Callithrix jacchus: one gene and its partners. The main gene of each other region encodes a partner of the protein of the gene in region 3 in a complex. Links are inferred from orthologs where the notes say so. Each region holds a gene or a part of one and is shown on either strand. Other genes may lie near its edges.

Region 1 (3,749 bases), about 13 Mb from region 3:
GTGGTCCTGACTCCTGCCCAACTCTTGAGTCAGGACCACAGTATCCTCTCCCACCCAGGCTGCCCATCCTCCCAGATAACCCCGAACTCCAGGCCTCCCCCTACCTGCCCCACCCGGGACTTATCAGACTCCACAGCCAGCACCCGCCCTCAGCTGACCCCGCCTGCCTAGGCTAAGCACCCACCTCTGGGATGGGCACCTCCAGGCTGGTGCCTGATGGGGCCCGGATGGCCAAGAGGGTATCTCCTAGAATGACAGAGAATGGGTCAGAGCCCATAGGCTAAATCTGAGCTGGGAACAGAGGTGCCTGCCTTTTGGAGCAAGGCAGGAGATCATAGTCTCTGAGGGGCTAGTCAGTGGGTCTCACCAATCCCCTACAGTGGCTGAGCAGAACTAAAGCTCTTCTCTTTCTGAGGGTCAGTAACCAGGAAATCTGAGTTCAAGTATGTGGAGTGAAAGATCACTGGCCACAGGCACCTCACTCCACCAATGGCTGATCCCTAGGTGAAGGTGTTCTAGCCAAGGCCAACATCCCTTTCCCATGACCAGCCTTGGGGATGCAAGATGGAGAAGAAACACATCTGTAGGGCACAGTGGCTCAGGCCTATAATCCCAGCACTTTAGGGGCTCAAGCCAGTTAGACAGCTTGAGCTCAGGAGTTCAAGACCAGCCTGGGCAACATAGCGAGACCTTGTCTCTTTAAAAAAAGAAAAAGGAATAGATCCTGTATTCACAATACAAGTAAATAACAGGTTGGAAGTGGGCACCCCCATACCCTGCATACGAGCACGTAAGAGTCTGCACACAAGCAAATACACACATATCCTCTCTCCCCCTCTTCTCCCTTGTGCCTCTGTCATGCCCAAGAAGCCAAATCCAGGTAACAGTGCATATGGGAACAAACCCAGGGACTCACTCCAAAATTCCTGTACCCTCTCAGTACAGCTGACCTCCACAGGGTCCCAGTGCCCCTCAGACAGAAGACTTACCCTGCCTGGGTCCTCTTTGAGCAGGCCCCAGAAACCCTCTTGAGAGACACTCAAGAGACAGTGTCTCCTGAGACACTGAGCCCAGTGCCCCAGCCCACCCCCTTGTCCCTACCCAGGCTCTGCTCACCAGCAAAGCATCTGCAGATGTCCTCATGAGTGACGTAGGCCAAAGTGTGAGGGTTAAGGAGAATGGCCCTATGGTGACAGACGGCAGACTACAGAGAAGACCCAACTCTTTAGCCAAAGTCTGACACATAGGCCCTCGGAGAAAGTTCTGGGGACTGGGGTCCACCTGGGGAGGGATCACAGGCTAAGACTGGGAAGGGGCTCTGAGGAGGGAGCCTGAGGTTGGGACACGGCTAGGGGCTACAGGACAAGCTCCCAAGAGGGAGAGGGCTCAGGGCAAGTTGAACCAGAGGGCCCCTTGCCCACTCGCCACAGCAGAGACCGTCAGGAGGATATCAGCTGTTCTGCACGTCCTCTGTGACATTCCGGATGCTCTGCTGCACCCACACCTTGTGCTGGTCTAGTTCTTGCTCCCGCTGTTGCAGCTCCTCGATCTCTGCCTTGAGCTCAATCAGCTTGTCGGCAATCTCCCGGGTATTGCAGCCAGGCCCCACACCCCTGAGCCCAGGGAGTGGGGCCAAGAGGAACTGCTGAGAACTCTGGGTCCCACGGCCCCTGCTTTCTTCCACATCCTCCACCCCACACCCCTGACACTTCTGGGTGGGAGACTCTACTACCCTCCCACTATCCCCACTCACTTCCACTGGATGCTGTTCTTGGACTTTTTCTCGATCAGTCCGATACCTTCCAAAACATTGGTAATGTCATAAATCCGCCGCTTCTGGCGTACAGCTAGGGTGTCAGCTGCCTGGCAGACAGAATAGAGAATGATCAGCTCCACTCTCGGGTGTACCCCCAGCCACCCTGAGACGTGGTCTGGGAAGGGAGTAACCTGGGTTCCAACCCTGTAGTGCCTCTCAGGTGCTACTGCAGCTCAGGACCGCAGGGTGAGAAGAGACCTGGCGCACAGCCCTGAACTGGTGTTCTGAAGCTCTTCTCCCAGCCAGCCAGGAAGGGCCACGAGGACAAACACCTGCAGCCCCGAGCCTGGCCCATAGCTGTCGCTCAATGGCCTCGGCTGAATGAATGAAAGATCCCCCGGCCTCTCTCCTGTGAGAAAGCACACGATGGCGGCCAGCTCTCTGAGGACCCGGCCTGGCCGCCCCCGGGGTTCCCGCTACCGGCTCAGGCCTTGTCCACCACCCCGCCTTGTCGTCCCTTAGCCCGGGCCGCACCAGCTTGAGGTCAAGCACGCCATCCTTGGCCTCCTGCAGAAGCGACACGAACTTGGTGGTGAGTAGTCCCAGGCTCTTTTCGTGCCGGCTTGGAGTGCCCGGGGGCGGCGGCGCCTGTGGCCCGGCCTCCGCCATCTCACCCGCCCGCCGCCTCCCCTCAGCCAGGCCAGGCCGGCGCCGCCGCCACTTCCGCTTCCGTTCCTGCCCTCCTAGCCGCCGGAGCCAGAGTCGTTTCTTCCGCTTCCGCCGCATGTCCCTTCTAGGGAACGCGGCGCTATTTTTGTCTGAAGGCGCAGCCGCAAAAGTTTAGGGACCATTAGCAAATGTCCAGCCGCCTAATAAGACGAAAACTACTTAGGTATACCGGGAGTTGAGGATGAAGTTGGGGAGGAATGAGGAGGATGTCAGTTGGCAGCCCTGGCAGTAGAGAAAGGGGCGCCATCGGAACTTTCCTTGCCAATTTGCCCCAACATCACCAACTCTGTGCAGTACCCATCTCGGGAGAGGAGACCACACTACCCAACTAACCCAATCTGTTCCCTCAAACCTGTTCCTTTTTTTTGTTTGTTTTCCTATTTATTTAGAGACGGAGTCTCGCTCTGTCACCAGGCTGGAGTGCAATGGTGCAATATCGACTCACTGCAACCTCCCCTCCCGGGTTCAAGTGATTCTTCTGCCTCAGCCTCCCGAGTAGCTGGTACTATAGGCACGCACCACCAAGCCCAGCTAATTTTTGTTATTTATATATATATATATATTTACATATATGTAATTTACATATATATACGGGTATATCTATAGAGAGAGTTTTTTTTTTTTTTTTTTTGATACGGATCTTCGCTCTCGTCACCCAGGCTGGAGCACAATGGCACAATCTCAGCTCATCGCAACCTCTGCCTTCCGAGTTGAAGCGATTCTCCTGCCTCAGCCTCCCAAGTAGCTAGGTTACAAGCCCACACCACCACACCTGGCTAATTTTGTATTTTTAGTCGAGATGCGATTTCTCCATGTTAGTCAGGCAGGTCTCACTCAAACTCCTGACCTCAGGTGATCCACCCACCTTGGCCTGCCAAAGTGTTTGGATTACAGGCGTGAGCCACCTCGCCCGGCCATTTTGTTATTTTTAACATTGTTGTTTCTTTCAGGTCAGGTTCTCTGGGAAATGGGACTCATTTTGCAGCAAGTTTGTTGGTGATCCACACCTGTTTTTTGAGGTAGGGTCTGAATTTGTTTGTTGCCCAGGCTGGAGGGCAGTGGCAGGATCAATGCAGTCTCAGCTTCCTGGGCTTAAGCAATTCTCCCACCCCAGCCTCCCAAGTAGCTGGGACCACAGGCATGCACCACCACATCTGGCTCGCTTATTTTTAGTTTGCTTTTGTTTTTGTTTTTCAGTCGGAGTCTCTCACTCTGTTGCCCAGGCTGGAATGCAAGGGCACAATCGGCTCACTGCAACCTCCGC
Region 2 (3,749 bases), on a different chromosome or scaffold from region 3:
CTATAACCTACACCGGTGACCTTATGATACCACAATCTGGGACAGAACTCTGCTGTGAGTCTTACTCTCACAAATTAAGTAATTAGATGGCTGTATTTGAATTTCAGTTTTCTCCTTTTCAAAGAAGTTCCAGCAAATTTAGCATGAAAAAGACAAAAGAGTAAATAAAAAACATTTTTAAATCAATATTGTTTGAATTAAATTTTAAAGACAGTGACAGGTGGAACACTAAAAATAGAAGTGAGAGAGCTAGGCCATGGAATATTTTAGAATGAGTTACTTATTTAGAAGATGAATTTAATTAAGTTCAAAGTGCTCGACTTGATTTTGTCAGATTAAAAAGAAAAGATTAGGTGGAGAAGAGTGAAACTCTGTAAGAGATAAGAATGAAAACTTAAAAAATAAAGAGTGCAAATAAAGTGACCATAAAGATGGCTAGAAGACCAAAGGAAAAACATACAATGTTTTTAATACTCTTCCTGGCCAAAGAAAGGAAACTAAATTGAGAAGACAGGGGAAAAAATCCAACTCAAGAAACACATCTTTAAAATCCCCCAAATCTGTAAAAACAATTTAAAAATAAACTAAAAAATTTAATAACAATTACCTCTACTTCTATCACTTGGCTTTGTTATTTTAAATTGTGGTGAAATATACATAAATTTGACCATTTTAACAACTTTTAAGTATACAGTTCAGTGGTATTAAGTACATTAATTGTGCAATCATCAGCACATTCATTTCCAGAATGTTTTTCACCTACCTAAACTGAAATTTGGTACCTGTTAACAGTAACTCCCTATTCCCTCGCCTTGCTTTTTAAATGCCCTTCTTTCTGGCAAGAGAAGGACATTTCAGCAAGAGAGCACCCAGGCAGGAGACTCTCTTTTGACTCCAAACATCCATAATTTCTTTTTTGTTGTTGTTGAGACGGGGGTTTCGCTTTGTCACCCAGCCTGGTGCAGTGGCATGAACATGGTTCACTGCAGCCTCCACCCCAGGGCTCAAGAGATTCTCCTGCCTCAGCCCCCCAAGTAGCTGGGATTACAGGTGTGTGGCACCATGCCCAGCTAATTTTTGTATTTTTTTTTTGTAGAGACTGGGCTTCATCATGTTGTCTAGGTTGGTCTTGAACTCCTGAGTTCAGGCAATCTGCCCGCCTCAGCCTCCCAAGATCTTAAAACTTAAGATCAAGTAATATATTATTTCTGCATATATCTAATCAATCTTTCAATAAATGCTAATTAAAGACCTACTGTTCACCAGGCACTGTGCTAAACCCTGGGATCCAACTATAAACAAGACAAACTTGAAATTTATAATCTAGCATAAAAGGGGCAAAGTTAACAGAATTACTATGCTGACAAGGAAGACACTGAGATAATGAATAATGGTGGGGAAGAGCGACTCCAGATCCTGTGTTCTAAGAGACTCTTTGGGAGGTGACATCTAAAAAAAGATCTGAAATTGAAAAAAAAATATTTATATGTTTGAGTAATCTTTTGGAATCTCAAAGCACCTAGCATTATGCGTTTCATGTAGCAGGTACTTAATAAAGCTCACCTTGGCTTCAATTTCCTCATTCCTGTAATGAACTTTCAAGATTCCTTCCAAATACAAAATGTGTTTGTCTAAGGGAGGGAAACCTATATATCAATGAAATCGATATATATAGTTGGGATGGGAACGACAGAAACAAAAATGAGTTTAAAAATGACTGCAAGACCCTAACTCTCTAAAGCAGAACCGAGACCAAAAGCATAGGAATATACCAAGACAACCTAATTGTTACTTGAAATGACTTGCATTTTACAATACATAAACAGAAATCGTTCATTCACTCAGCCTGAAGAAACAACACAAAAAGCAGATGCAAAAGAGGTTGCGACCTGTGCAAGACAACACTTAAAAGCTCAATACTCATTCTCCTCGCGACTCTCACGGTGAGGGGCCGAGAACGTCCCCCGATTATCTTGCTGCCACGGCAGTGGTCCCAAACAAGAGACAGGAGAGAGATCATGTTTCTCTTGCGGTTCAGTATCGAGATGAGGTCAGCCAGCAGCCACTGCTAGAGTTTGTGAGAATCGTTCCATCCCTGCGCTCAATCAGAAGAAAACTGATCCCTCAGTGTGATACTCCAAGGAGGAGACTAGTTTAAGGCACGTCCTTTCCTCCACTAACATCTCCTCCGAGGCTCTCAGCCTCACCCAAATAGAGACAAGGAAGGATCAGGGCAACCCCCTGTCCTTTTACCCAAAGTGAGTCCCTCCCTGGTGCCCTCCTCCACACGCCTGGTACAGAGCGGGGAAACTGGGCACCTCCGGAGCCGCTGTGAAGAACCAGTGAGCTGAAGACGGCGATGGATCTCAAGAAAAAAAGTAAAAGGGAAAGGAGAAGAGCCCAAGAAAGAAATGTATGTTTGAGGGGCAGAGACAGAGTAGACGTTGCCGGTAGAGCAAAGAAGGAGGCTGCAGGCAAAGATCTACAAGCCGGCTCTTACCGTCTGTGGGAGACGCCATCTTCCAACCCATGTCACGTGACATGGCCAACCGTCGGCGGGAAAACGAGGATCCATAAGCCACTCCCCCAAAGAGAAACCCTATCCCCAACTCACAGCCTAGTCTCATTCCCTCGCCTCATAGGGCAACATTTGCCTATCCCCGCCCCTAATTATAGCCACGCCCCTCGCGCAGTTGTTGAGGTGGAGCGACTGCAAAATTCTTGGAGGGTCTTATTTACTTTTCTCGGTGAGAGGGCGGGGCCTCGGTTGCGCCCTTGGCCAATCGGAGTTCCGGGTTAGGGGGCGTCTTCCCCGTGTGCACAGTATGGAGTGTCCAAGTCAGGGGCGTCTTCTCTACCTCCGCCAACAGCATTGGCTGAAGTGGGAGAGGGCGAGACCTTTTTCGCTCCTGACCAATCACTTATTCACAGGACTGGCGTGTGAGGGGCGGAATCAGGTGTTGGTTCGCGTGACTGGCTGGAAAAAATAGTCCTACCCACCAATGAGGAAGCCAGTCAGGATGGAGGGCGAGGCCTGGCAGCTGTAGTGCTTCTGAGCAGTAGAGGCGCAGGGTGCGGAGCTAGGGAGGCCGAGAGCCATGGCGGCGGTGGTGGCGGCGGCGGCAGTGCGAGCCCGGATCCTGCAGGCGAGTGAGGGTGGTGCCAAGGGACCATGAAGCCAGGACTTAGATCTTTTCCGTCCACTCCGTGAACCATCCTCGGGCGGGACCACCTTTTTGGCCCAGCCCCTTTTTGGCCGGACCTCGTGTTCCTACGCGACCTGTGCGGCCCTGTCCCATGCGCAGCTCTCACTTCATACCCTACCTCGTCCCGGATCCCACCCGAGCTGTTACTCTTGGCCTTACACCCTTTTACTCCTGAGCCTCCTCTTTTCTGGCTCTCGCCCACTCTCCTCCAGCCCTGCCCGGTCCCTGCTGTCACTCTCTTGCCCTCACCACTCCATCCGTCCACCGTCTTTCCTTTTCACCTCTGCACCAGCCTTCTCTCTCTCCCCCGAGAACTACTCTTTTTGATTACTCTTTCCCTGCCGTGAGCGTCCACGTTGCCATTGCTCCCTTTCCCCACCCTACTTCACTTTCCTTGATCCGAGGTAAGGGGGAGAGGGGATGTGAGGGGAGAGGGTAAGTGTATGAACTTTGAATCTCCTTCTAGACGTGTACTCCAGGTATTCACCAAAGGCAGCCATTTGCAAGCTATTTTCCCCAAGCGTGGCTCTTTGTATTTTCCAT
Region 3 (3,649 bases):
TGGCCTCCCACGTAGCTGGGATTATAGGCACAAACCACCACACTCGGCTAATTTTTTTTTTTTTTTTTTTAAGGAGGGTGAGGACCCAGCCTGAGCAGCGGGGCCCACTCCCCAATTTTTTTGTATTTTTAGTAGAGAACAGGGTTTTACCATGTTGGCCGGGTTGGTCTCAAATTCCTGAGCTCAGATGGTTCACCCCCATTGACCTCCCAAAGTGCTGGGAATAGAAGTGTGAGCCACCGTGCCTGGCCAACATTTCATTCTTATCATTGGGAAAATTTGAAATCTGGTAATACCAAGCTTGGTCACTGTGCAGGGAAATAGGAACTCTATTTTTTTTATTTTTCAGTTCATTTTTTTTTTTTTTTTGAGATGGAGTCTCACTTTGCTGCCGAGACTGGAGTACGGTGGCTCGATCTCTACTCACTGCAACTTCTGCTTCCTCGGTGCAAGTGATTCTCATGCCTCAGCCTCACAGGGTAGCTAGGACTATGGGTGCACACCACTACACCTGGCTAATTTTTGTATTTTTTGTAGAGACTGGGTTTCACCATGTTAGCCAGGCTGGTCTTGAACTCTTGACCTCAATTGATCCGCCTGCCTCAGCCTCCCAAAGTTCTGGGATTACAGGCATGAGCCACCATGCTTAGCCAGGAACTTTATATTGCTAGTGTACATTGGTGAGAATAAAAATTGGCTTAACTACTTAATTAGGAAATTTGGTGGTATCTAGTATCATTGAAGGTACACATTCTCTGACTCCTCTTCTTGGAGTAACTTCTAAAGGAACTCCTGCACACATGTATAAGGATGATTTCATTACAATAGTTTTTTTGTTATCACGGAAAATTAGAAACAACCTAAATTTCCATGATTGGGGAGTGAATGCAAAAAGTCATTGTGTGTTCATATGAAATAATGTTTTTAGCAATTAAAGGGAATATATCTTATGTATCAACATTAATATCAGAAACTAAGTGTGAAAAAGCAAGATTCAGAATACCACTGAAGTATACCATTTATATAAAATGTAAAAATGTGTAATAAGTAATAAGATGTTGCTTATTGTTTATGCGTACATGTATATGTGTAGTAAGTATGAAAACCTGGGAAGGATTAAGACCAATTTTGGAATGGTGTTTATCTTTGGGAAAGAAAGGTGGGGGTGGGATTGGGGAGGAGTATAAAATGGGAATTTAGGCTTTTTTTTCCTTTTCTTTTTTTGAGAGGGAGTCTTGCACTGTCACCCGGGCTGGAGTGCAGTGGCGAGATCTTGGCTCACTGCAACCTCTGCCTCCCAGGTTCAAGCAATTGTCCTGCCTCAGACTCCCAAGTAGTTGGGATTACAGGTGCCTGCCACCACGCTCAGCTAATTTTTTGTATTTTCAGTAGAGACAAGGTTTCACCATGTTGGCCAGGCTGGTCTCGAATTCCTGACCTTATGATTCCCCCGCCTCGGCCTCCCAAAGTGTTGGTATTACAGGTGTGAGCCACCATGCCTGGCCTTGGCTGTTCTATAGTGTTTCTGGTTTTCAGAAAAAATCTGAAGTGGCCAGGGGAGGTGGCTCACACCTGTAATCACAGTGTTCTGGGAATTCAGGGTAGGAGGATCACACAAGCCCAGGTGTCTGCAGTCAGCTGTGATCTTGCCACTGAACTCCAACATGGGTGACAGAGTAAAACCCTATCTCTTACAAAAAAACTGAAGCAAAAATGACAAAATTTATTTACCATGTTAACATTTAAAACATCTGGCAGTGAACCAATGTGAATGTTGGTTATGATACTCTTGTTAATTTTGGTTTGTATTTTCAAATTCATAATTAACAAATACTTTAGGTAACCTAAAAAAATGATTGGGAGGATCAGAGGAATATACCAATCTGTAAGAAATGAAGCTAGTCAGAGACATGAGTTGTGATTTTATTTCACTGTCTAAAAGTAATATGCTTTAATGAAATAATATTGATTTACTTTTGAAAACTTGCTTTTATATACTTTACCTTTATGTAATTATGAAATGTCTTATTTTTTATCTTTAATACCAGCTTAATCGAATTTTTTAATAAAATGAAGAAATGGGAAGACATGGCAAATCTACCCCCACATTTCAGAGAACGTACTGAGAGATTAGAAAGAAACTTCACGGTTTCTGCTGTAATTTTTAAGAAATATGAACCCATTTTTCAGGACATTTTTAAATACCCTCAAGAGGAGCAACCTCGTCAGCAGCGAGGAAGGAAGCAGCGGTAGGTTTTCATGTTTGTTCGTCGGGAGTACACATTCATCACTGCTGCAGTTTTGATATTTTGCTAATTTGTTTGCTAGTTTAAAAAAATACTATTTAAATGATCTTTTTTCCAATAGTTTTCTTTTAATAATACTTTTTTGCTTTTCATTGTGGGTTAGCCATTACGAGTTTGGCTTTTTTCATATTGCTAAAAGTATAGGTGTCTTTGTTATTATAAATTTTCCTTTTTCTTATTTTATTTTATAATTATTTTTTCCTCAGTGATCCTTGTGATCCGTGTTCTGAAACCTTCCTTTTTCATTTAAACAACAAAAAATGCAGACTGCGCAAGTCAGATGTCAGGGATTTTCACCCTTTAGCTGCCCTGGAGATATATCTATATCTGTATCTAGATATATATTTTATTTATTGTACAGGGGCCATGGGAATCTCTGTATCATTCTAATTTTAGTACATGTGCTGACAAAATGTCAGCCCTAGATATAGATCGCTGTGTTGACCACTATATTTTCTTTTCTTTTTTTTTTTTTTTGAAACAGAGTCTTGCTCTGTTGCCCAGGCTGGAGTGAAGGGGCACAATCTCGGCTAACTGCAATCTCTGTCTCCCAGGTTCAAGCAATTCCCTGCCTCAGCCTCCTGAGTAGCTGAGATTACAGGTGCACACACCATGCCTGGTTAATTTTTGTATTTTTAGTAGAGACAGGGTTTCACCGTCTTGGCCAGGCTGGTCTTGAACTCCTTACCTTGTGATGCACTCGTCTCGGCCTCCTAAAGTGCTGGAATTACAGGCGTGAGCCACTGCACGCAGCCAACCACTATATTTTCTACTAGTGACTATATAGACTATTTTACTTTTATGTCAAAGTGAGTAATAAATAATCCCCTTGAAATAACTTCTGTATTTTGATGTTTATAGTGAATCAAGAATAGAGAGACTGGATTGGGAAAAGACAGGAGAACTGAAACTATTATGAAGGTGTGCTTCAGAAAGACTCAGTTCTGCAAAGTCTATAAGCAAACTCTGGCTCAGTGTTTACTACTGTTACTGATGGATAAAGGCAGTTATATTTTCCTTCTTTATCATTGGAAGTTTTTTCATAAAGTCAGAAATGAAAGTTTTTTCATAAACTTATTAGAAATGAAAATTCTAACAACTAGAAAAGTGTTGACAAGAAAAGCAAGGGGAAAGGAGTTAAAATTATTTGGCTAGAATAAATAATGTTTGCCGCTCTTTAAATATAAAAGTTTTCCCAGACTGTGAAGGATGTTTACAATAAATGTAACCTTTTAAAAATAAAATGGGGGAATGCCAAAGCAGGTGGAAAAACGTAAAAAAAAAAAAAAAAAAAGCTGAAACTATTTACATTTTAATATAGTTGGCACCACTGATACAGAAGC

The links.
Region 1: RBL2 (region 3) and E2F4 share a complex: the UniProt entries of both Homo sapiens proteins name them as parts of the DREAM complex. The link is inferred for Callithrix jacchus from reciprocal best matches to the Homo sapiens genes RBL2 and E2F4.
Region 2: RBL2 (region 3) and LIN52 share a complex: the UniProt entries of both Homo sapiens proteins name them as parts of the DREAM complex. The link is inferred for Callithrix jacchus from reciprocal best matches to the Homo sapiens genes RBL2 and LIN52.

Annotation. Positions count from the first base shown.
Region 1 is NC_133521.1:24,702,942-24,706,690, reverse strand, and holds the start of E2F4 (transcription factor E2F4), read right to left. Parts: upstream 2,473-3,749; 5' UTR 2,426-2,472; coding exon 2,291-2,425; intron 1,864-2,290; coding exon 1,754-1,863; intron 1,614-1,753; coding exon 1,452-1,613; intron 1,161-1,451; coding exon 1,117-1,160; intron 247-1,116; coding exon 185-246; intron 1-184. UniProt on the Homo sapiens protein: Transcription activator that binds DNA cooperatively with DP proteins through the E2 recognition site, 5'-TTTC[CG]CGC-3' found in the promoter region of a number of genes whose products are involved in cell cycle regulation or in DNA replication.
Region 2 is NC_133509.1:109,031,386-109,035,134, reverse strand, and holds the start of LIN52 (protein lin-52 homolog), read right to left. Parts: upstream 2,539-3,749; 5' UTR 2,532-2,538; coding exon 2,501-2,531; intron 1-2,500.
Region 3 is NC_133521.1:11,362,814-11,366,462, forward strand, and holds part of RBL2 (retinoblastoma-like protein 2), read left to right. Parts: intron 1-2,048; coding exon 2,049-2,249; intron 2,250-3,649. UniProt on the Homo sapiens protein: Key regulator of entry into cell division. Directly involved in heterochromatin formation by maintaining overall chromatin structure and, in particular, that of constitutive heterochromatin by stabilizing histone methylation.